Linked DNA regions of Sus scrofa. Each later gene encodes a partner of the first gene's protein in a complex. Links are inferred from orthologs where the notes say so. Each region holds a gene or a part of one and is shown in the gene's direction. Other genes may lie near its edges. The genes, in order: MEP1A and FETUB.

What was found.
Region 2: the proteins of MEP1A (region 1) and FETUB are in contact, whole or in part, in a cryo-EM structure (PDB 7UAI), measured with the Homo sapiens proteins. The link is inferred for Sus scrofa from reciprocal best matches to the Homo sapiens genes MEP1A and FETUB. Residues at the interface, in NP_005579.2 of Homo sapiens: Asp126, Gly127, Cys128, Trp129, Ser130, Glu131, Val132, Gln145, Gly146, Cys147, Tyr149, Ile152, His155, Glu156, His159, Tyr164, His165, Gln167, Ser168, Leu184, Gly186, Tyr187, His189, Asn190, Asp192, Tyr194, Tyr214, Gln215, Phe217, Ser218; in NP_001362516.1 of Homo sapiens: Phe109, Phe110, Lys144, Lys145, Tyr148, Met149, Thr150, Cys151, Pro152, Asp153, Cys154, Pro155, Ser156, Ser157, Ile158, Ser196, Ser197, Gln198, Trp199, Val200, Val201, Gly202, Tyr205, Phe206, Thr242, His245, Trp246, Phe249, Val250, Ser251.

What each region holds. Positions count from the first base shown.
Region 1 is NC_010449.5:41,586,269-41,590,743, forward strand, and holds the start of MEP1A (meprin A subunit alpha), read left to right. Parts: upstream 1-1,430; 5' UTR 1,431-1,492; coding exon 1,493-1,561; intron 1,562-1,647; coding exon 1,648-1,672; intron 1,673-1,763; coding exon 1,764-1,814; intron 1,815-2,188; exon of another isoform or gene 2,189-2,344; coding exon of another isoform or gene 2,345-2,351; intron 2,352-4,475.
Region 2 is NC_010455.5:124,479,184-124,483,529, forward strand, and holds the start of FETUB (fetuin-B), read left to right. Parts: upstream 1-1,272; 5' UTR 1,273-1,454; coding exon 1,455-1,682; intron 1,683-2,162; coding exon 2,163-2,273; intron 2,274-4,093; coding exon 4,094-4,181; intron 4,182-4,346. UniProt on the Homo sapiens protein: Protease inhibitor required for egg fertilization.

The sequences.
Region 1 (4,475 bases):
TGGTCAGTGGTAGCTGTGAAACTCAATTTTCTATCCACCTGATTCCAAAGTCCCCATTAGAGTATATTGTGCAGGTAAGTCTAAGAAGGAAGGGAAAGATAAAAGCACATCTGGCTGGAAGCAAGGTTATGTCTATTGACAGATGAATGGATAAAGAAGATGTGAGATAAATACACACACACACACACACACAATGGAATATTAGCCATAAAAAAGAATGAAATAATGACATTTGCAACATGGTTGGACCCAGAGATTATCATACTAAGTGAAGTAAGTCAGGATGAGAAAGACAAATATCATATGATATCACTTAGATGTGGAATCTAAAAAAAAAAAAATACAAATGAACTTACTCATAAAAACAGACTCATAGACATAAGAAAACAAATTTATGGTTACCAAAGGGGAAAAATTAGGGAGGGACAAATTAGGAGTTTGAGATTAACATATACACACTACTATATATAAAGTAGATAGGAGTTCCCATCGTGGCGCAGTGGTTAACGAATCCGACTAGGAACCATGAGGTTGCGGGTTCGGTCCCTCCCCTTGCTCAGTGGGTTAACGATCTGGCATTGCCGTGAGCTTTGGTGTAGATTGCAGACGCGGCTCAGATCCCGAGTTGCTGTGGCTCTGGCGTAGGCCGGTGGCTACAGCTCCGATTGGACCTCTAGCCTGGGAACCTCCATATGCCGCAGGAGCGGCCCAAGAAATAGCAAAAAGACAAAAAAAAAAAAAAAAAAAAGACAAAAAGTAGATAATCAGCAAGGACCTACTGCATAGCACAGGGAACTATACTTAAATATTTTGTAATAACTTACCAGGGAAAAGAATTTGAAAGAGAATATATGTCTATATGTGTGTGTGTGTGTGTGTGTGTGTGTGTGTGTGTGTGTACCTATAACTGAATCACTATGACATGTTATGATATTGTAAATTAACTATCCTTCAATTAAAATTTAAAAAAAGATTTTATGGCAATAATATTGAATTTATAGATAAAATGATGACCATCTCTATTATATTGAGTCTTCCCACTCATGAATATTTCATATATAAATATATGTGTATACGTGTGTGTTTAGATAGCTCTTTCTAAGGTTCTTCAATCATTACCTTATAACATTTACGTACAATTCATTCATTTTTATTAGAGTTAAGCACTTCATAATAATTATAGATTATTTTTATTTCTATTGTGCAATGGATATTTTATCTGTTATATGAAGTTATTGCTTGTATACAAAAATGTTATTTATTTTTATATGCTCATATCAGTATCAACTTTTTCAGACTTTTCCCTGGTCTCTGGCACTTGAGCTTTTCTGCTAAAATTAATATCTGCCCTCAAATGGGGCAAAGACATTTTCTTTGACGACTTCAATGCTACAGAACATGTGTAAGGGTCAAAGTTTCTAATATGACAGCCAGAGCAAAGTCCAAGTATTTATCACAAGGTGTCTTTGCTAAAATCTGTTCACTTGCAGCAATGATTTGGACAAGATCTCCTTGCATTCTCTCTTTCATCTTGTTTTTTGCCCATATAGCTGCTGTATCGGTAAGTAGAGTTCTGCTTCTCAACTTACTTAGAAACACTAATTCTAGTATACATTATCCATTTTCTGTATATTTATTTCCTTTCAGATTAAACATCTTTCCAAAGGAAATGGTAAGAATTAAGTAAAATGCATAATGTGTTTCTGAGCTTTTTCTGTTTCATTCAGCAATACGTATAACAATTTCCCCCCCACTTTTAACAGTACATGATGGAGATTTTGATGAACAGAAGGATATTACAGAGATCAACTTAGGTGGGTGCCATTTCTGTCATTATTGATGCCTTTAAATAATTTAAAACCCTATGATAGAACTGCTAAAAAGCGCTTATGTTCATGATACAGTATTGGGTAACTTTAGGGGAAAACCATGATCGGAATTTGCAGAATTTCTAAAAAATGGAAATGTGGAAAGAGAAAAATGATTACACCAAAATTTCTAGAACTAGTGAGTGCTCAGTGGATCTAGAAATATAGAATAAGATTTTCGCTTATAAGACATTCATTTTTCCAGTTTTCAATTTGAGAAAAAGAAGGCAAAAATGGATGATTATTTTTCTTGCTAAAGAAAAATATAAGGAATATATCTTTGCTTAGGTTTAATGGGAAGAAAACCCTTGTCCCTCCAGAGTCCCTCTCCTGGCCCATCATATGAACAACATCAAACTAGCAACTATTTGCCTAGGACTCAGAAAAGAGTGTAAAGTGTCTCCGTTTCAACATCTTGACCACACACATATGCCATGAAGACATCCGTCAGTCTCACCCATCACTGAGAGAAGAAGATGCCATGTAATCCTCTCTCTTTGCCCTCTCTTGTCCTGCTTCTAATGTGAGGAAGAAACCTTGAGATTCTGGGAATCTTTGGTTAAGATTGGTGGGAAATAGAGGTTCTGGATTTGTGATCATAAATATCTTCTAGAACATAAAAACCTTCATATTCAATTGCATATTTATTTGTCAAATATTGTAGTGGGGTGAGTGCAGGTTTCACTTTGCAGGAAAGAAACAGGAGGCTCCTCTGGGTCAAGGTAAGTCACCCAAGTTCACGGATGGCAGTGATGGAGCTCACCATCAGGTCTTCTGACCCATAGCTCCATAACTCAGTCCTATTTGAAGACTATAAAACTAAAACGCCCCATACCTTAAGGTAAAATTTCTCTGGATTTATCCCACTTACAGAGAAACCAAGTTAGGTGATATTTTGTTGGCAAACCTTGAGAATGACTAGAGGGGCAAGTAGAAATAGTTTGAGAGGGTAAATGGGTCTCAAGATTTCAGAACCAGACATCAAATCATCTTTCTTTAGAGTCAGGCTGTCAAGGTATGTGTAAATAAGAGGGTCTGCTATACTTTAATGGTCCTCAGGTAGGAAAGCCTTAATGCCTTAAGCAATACTTCTCAAACTTTATTTATTTATTTATTTTTGCCTTTTCTAGTGCTGCTCCCAGCTCCTGCGGCACATGGAGGTTCCCAGGCTAGGGGTAAACTCGGAGCTATAGCCACTGGTCTACGCCAGAGCCACAGCAACATGGGATCCGAGCCACATCTGCAACCTACACCACAGCTCATGGCAATGCCAGATCCTTAACCCACTGAGCAAGGTCGGAGATCAAACCTGCAACCTCATGGTTCCTGGTTGGATTCGTTAACCACTGCACCACAACGGGGAACTCCAATACTTCTCAAATTTTAGCATCAGAATCCCTTGGAGGGCCTAATGAACACAGATCAGATTATTTCCCATATTAGGGCTGCTCTAAAGCAGGACCTTCCTATTTGCTGTTGCCTCTCTTCATGCTCCACTCCACTAGATTTCTGCTTAAAAGCCACCTCCTCAAGAAGGTTTTCCCTGACTACCTTTTACCAGTATCAACCTTCCTTCAGCTCAACACTCTTTACCCCCTTTGCTCTGTTTTATGTTTTTTTTTCCCCTAAATTGTATTTTTCACCATCTGCCATACTTGACATTTATTTGTTTGTTTGTATCCCCTCCTTCCCCAATCAAGAATGTCATCTCCCCTAGGGCTTTATTTTCTTTTCTGTTGTGCCCTCAACATCTAGAACAATGCCTAGGACACATTAGCCACCTAATAAGTAAATGCTACATGAATGAATTGGGTAGTGAATAAGCTGAGGCTTGCTTTTAATGGATTTGCACTTTGTGAAATTCTCCTATGGCACTCTCTCCTTTGTAACCCCATCCTGCTGACAGACCCATGGGGTCAAGGTCCCACTGAGCTTGTTCACATCCTCCCTGGAAGAGCCCTTCCCTCACCCCCATTCCTAAGCCAGGTCAAATGTCAGGAAATGTGTAATTTTGCTCTCACACCAAGCCTAGGTAAGAGTATGGAAGGACAAGCCCATCATAGCCCTACTGAAAAGGCAATTCAAAACCTGGGTCCTGCTGCCTCTGGGGCAGTAGTGTCATTGCTATTTGTTGTTATTTAACTGTGCTGTTATAGGAATAGGCTATGGTCCTTAGGTTAAGAAAGTCTAGGAAATATGTGTATGAGGAAAGGGGTGATGCAGGAATCTCTTGAGTTAGACATTAGCAAGTGAAGCCAGGAAGCCTTCTACCACCTCCATGGTGTCATTGCAGAGCCTGAACCCAGATCTTGAATGAGCCATAGGCTTTGCCCAGTGAGACCACTGCTTCCATGTAAGGTTGTGGTGATTGTTCTTTAGTTTGATTTCCCAGCTGTAAATCAGGGGCTGTTTTCAGAATGAGGTACAATCTGATGATCCTGTCTCAAGTAGTTTGTGTTTTACAAGGAAGGCTGCTTGTCAAACATGAGGGTTGTAATCAGAACTGACATTCTTTTAAAGGCCCATAGTTTTCCCACACAGAGCTTCCTTCTTAAGTATCTTATTTTCAGAAACAGTCTGAGACCAGCATCAAGGAATACCATCAGG
Region 2 (4,346 bases), on another chromosome or scaffold:
CTTCCATTACAGAGTTATTACAGAATATTGAATATAGTTCTCTGTGCTATACAGTAGGACTTTGTTGGTATCTAGTTTATATATAGTAGTTTGTATCTGCTAATCCCAAACTCCTAACTTATCCCTCTCTGCTCCCTTTCCCATTTGGTAACCATAAGTTTGCTTTCTATGTCTATGAGTCTATTTCTAATTCATAAATAAGTTTGTGCCACATTTTAGATTACACACATAAGTGATATCATATGATGTTTGTCTTTTTCCGATTTACTTCACTTAGTATAATAATCTCTAGGTCTATCTATGTTGCTGCGAATGACAATATTTCATTCTTTTTTATGGCTGAGTGATAGTCCAGTGTGTGTGTGTGTGTGTGTGTGTGTGTGTGTGTGTGTGTGTAGAATAGAATATATAGATTATATATCTTTTTTATCCATTCATTTGTCTATGGACATTTAGGTGCTTCCATATCTTGGCTGTTGTAAATAGTGCTTCAGTGAACATTGGATACATGTATCTTTTCAAATTAGAGTTTTCTCCAGATATATGCCCAGGAGTAGGATTGCTGGATCATATGGCAAGTCAATTTTTAGTTTTTTAAGGACCTTCCATGCTATTTTCCATAGAGGCCGCACCAATTTACATTCTCACCAAGAGTGTAAGAGGATTCCCTCCACACCCTCTCCAGCATTGGTTATTTGTAGACTTTTAGATGATGGCTGTTCTGACCAGTGGGAGGTAATACTTCAATATAGCATTGACGTGCATTTCTCTAATAATTAGCAATGTTGAGCATCTTTTCATGTGACTGCTGGCCCTCTGTATGCTAAATGGAACTCTTTCCAGCCAGATCCCAGAGTGCTTTAGGAATCTCACTGAGGCTTCATGTAGATGATGTGGGGTTGAAGCCTTTTTCCTGATCTAACAAGAATGGTGAACCCAGGAGGTCGGGCGGGAGGTCAGAACTCACTGAGCACCATTGGTACCATGACTTTGGGCTCCGAGTCTGAGATGAAGAGAAGTGTAGCCAGGACATGGGCTGGAGGCGAGATTCTAGTGCCCAAGGGAGAACGTGACAGTCGTCATCTTCTGAACCGGCTTGAGCCCTGCACACAAGCAAGAATTCAATCGTGACCTCCCAGGAACCTTGACCTAAGAGTTTATTTTGCTTTCCTAGGAAAAGATTAGGAAACTTAAATCTGTTTACAGGTAACCATGAGTATCAGATTGCTCCGGGGTCCAAGGTTAGATATATTGGCAAATCCTATCCTAAGTCCTGACTCAGGGAAATCTACATTTAGAATTCAAGCAGATAAAATAGGGCCCTGTGTTTCAAATCCTGATCCCTGGTTCAGGTTGCAATTACAAGGCTGCTTAAATTGCTCTTGCAGAGCCCTGTAAGTAGCTGTCCTTGTGGCTCCTCATACTGACCCCTGCCTGGCCTCACTCCCCACAGGATGGGTCTGCTCCTCCCGCTGGTGCTCTGCGCCCTGGCCGTGGGCTGCGGGGCTACATCTCCACCCCAGCCGCTGCCCCCTACATCCTCGCTTCTCCTCTCCCATGCCTGCAACAGCTCTTATGTGCTGGATGTTGTGAACCTCGTCCTGCAGGAGATCAACAGGAACCAGAAGGACGGCTACGTGCTGAGCCCCAACCGAGTGAGCGATGTCCGCGAACACAGACAGGCAAGTGGCAGTCCCCTCCAGGGCAGGTGTTTGCACAAGCCAGGGAGGCTGCCAAGGGGACAGGAACCCAGAGACACATGTTGGCAGGTACCTTTCAAATCGGAAAACCTGCTGAGTACACACCAAGCTCCTCTGCTAGAGTGCTACATGTTCTTAATGCTATTAGGAACAAGTACTAATCTACTCTGAAACGTACTGTGTCCCACCGTTTCTATTTTCACAGAGTTCCCTGGTTGCCTAGTGGTTAAAGATCTGTCGCTGTCACTGCTGTGGCGCGGGTTCAATCCCTGGCCCAGGAACTTCTGCATGCAATAGGAACAACCAAAAAAAAGAAAAAAAGAAAAAAAGGAAGAAAGATAGAAATCTTCACAAACATTATAGCCTTTGTTTAGCTTTGCCATAAAACAGGGATTTGGGGGGCCAGGCTTTAGGGGTTTCTGCTTCATGTAGGTTGTGCATTTTCTCCTCACCTTCCTACAGGGTGACCTGGGATCTCTGTTCTATCTCACGCTGGACGTGATAGAGTCTAGCTGCCATGTGCTCAGTAAGATGTCATGGAAGGACTGTGGGCTGACGCCATTCCATGAATCGGTAAGTGCTTGTGTCCAGGTGCTTGAGCAGGAAAACTAGGTGACCTCTGTCTTCAGAATGAAGATTGTTCAGCATGTACCATCTTTAAATGTCCCACTTTATAATCTCTTGAGGAGGGTGCCTATGTAGTTATTCCAATTCTATAGACAAAATAGAGTTTCATCAGAGGGATTTCTGAGAGTTCAATTTCTGGTGTCTGGGTCATGAGAAATTGCCCCCAGATGCAAACCACTGCCTTTAGAATGAACAAGCAATGAGGTCCTGCTGTATAGCACAGGGAACTGTATCTAATCACTTGCGATGGAACATGATGGAGGATAATGTGAAAAAAAGAATGTATATGTATGTGTATAATTGAGTCACTTTGCTGTGCAGCAGAAATTGACAGAACATTGTAAATCAACTATAATAATTTTTTTAAAAAAAGAAAGAAAGAAATAAGAAAAGAAAGGAAAGTTGTCCCCAAGTTGTTTCCCACCTCTTGTAGGACCCTCCTATAGGCTCTGAGCCAATGTTTAAGTTGCGGGAGAAAAAAAAGAAGATGTCTGAGGTGTAGCTCTCTGGATGTGTATCCAAGGAAAACTGTAGAAGCAGTGGAGGGGCAACTCTGAAATTTGTTTTATTTTGCTTTATTTTGTTTTAATTGACACTGATACAAGATTTGAGGCTGGAGAGAGGGAAAGCTATGGTATGAGAGCTCTTAGAGGTACCATGGATAAAGGACTTTCTGGAATCACAGCACCTAAAATGAGTCAAAATTGATGACCAGAGAAGACGCTTGAAAAGAACACAGTTTTCATCTGGTTCTCAATTATCCTGAGATTATTTTTATTAATGGATATGAAACTTTGTGTATACAGGATTGTGGTATACGTCTTTAGAAATGAACTCTTTGACCAAGATATCTTTCTCTAATCACTTAACCAAATGTGTCAAACTCACCTACCTGGTTTTGAAAAGCAAATCATCTATTTACCCTGGGAATTATGTTTAAGGAGACACTAACTGCTATAACATATACACTAAAAAGTGTATACTGATCGCAACATGATAGAAGTTGATTTTCCCATTTATGCAAAGTTCAAATAGAAAGCTGGAGTTCCTGTCATGGCTCAGCAGAAACGAATCTGATTAGCATCCATGAAGACAAAGGTTCAATCCCTGGGTTCGCTCAGTGGGTTAAGGCTCCGGCATTCCCATGAACTGTGGTGTAGGTCACAGGTGCAGCTCAGATCTGGCTTTGCTGTGGCTGTGGATGTGGCGGGCAGCTGCAGCTCTGATTGGACCCCTAGCCTGGGAACCTCCATATGCCAGGGGTGTGGCCCTAAAAAGACCAGAAAAAAATATAGAAACTCCTCATCAGTGAGGGGCTCTCCTCCACGAGTGATTTGTCAACCCAGGTTCCCTCCATGCTGTGGCCTTGGACTCTGCTGCCCTCAACTCATGGTTCTGTGGTCACCATGCTCATCTACATCAACCTACAGAAAGGGAAAGAGCCTGGAGGACAGAGAGCACATGGGAGAGCCTTATGGGCTAGGCTTAGAAGTGGTTACCCATCCGTTCTGCTCACCTCACTGTGGTTAGAACTCAGTTACACACAGTCCTATCTAAGTAGGAAGGAGGCAGGGAAGTAGTGTAGCTGCAGCCCAAGAGAAGGTTGAACTCTTTGATGATCAGCTGGCAGGTTTCCCCACCCTAAACCACCAAAATTGACCTTAGGTTTCTCATTACTTAAAAATGAAATATCCAATTTCATCTGGGGTATTTTTTAAAGCCATAATTCATTTTACCATGTCGTAAAATGTATTTGTTGATTCCAGGAATATGGTCAATGCAAAGCAATATTTTACATCAATAAGGCAAGAAGAATTCACTATTTACCTGCTTATAACTGTATTCTTCGCCCAGGTAAGAGATCACTCTGATTTTGTTCATTTTAATAATAAATGGAAAATGAGCATTTAAGTATACTATGCTATAGTATGTAGCATTTCTCCCATCCTTACTTCTTGTTCATTCCAAAGTCAAGTTCTTCATATATCCAACCCTCACACTGCTTCTCTTCCCACAATT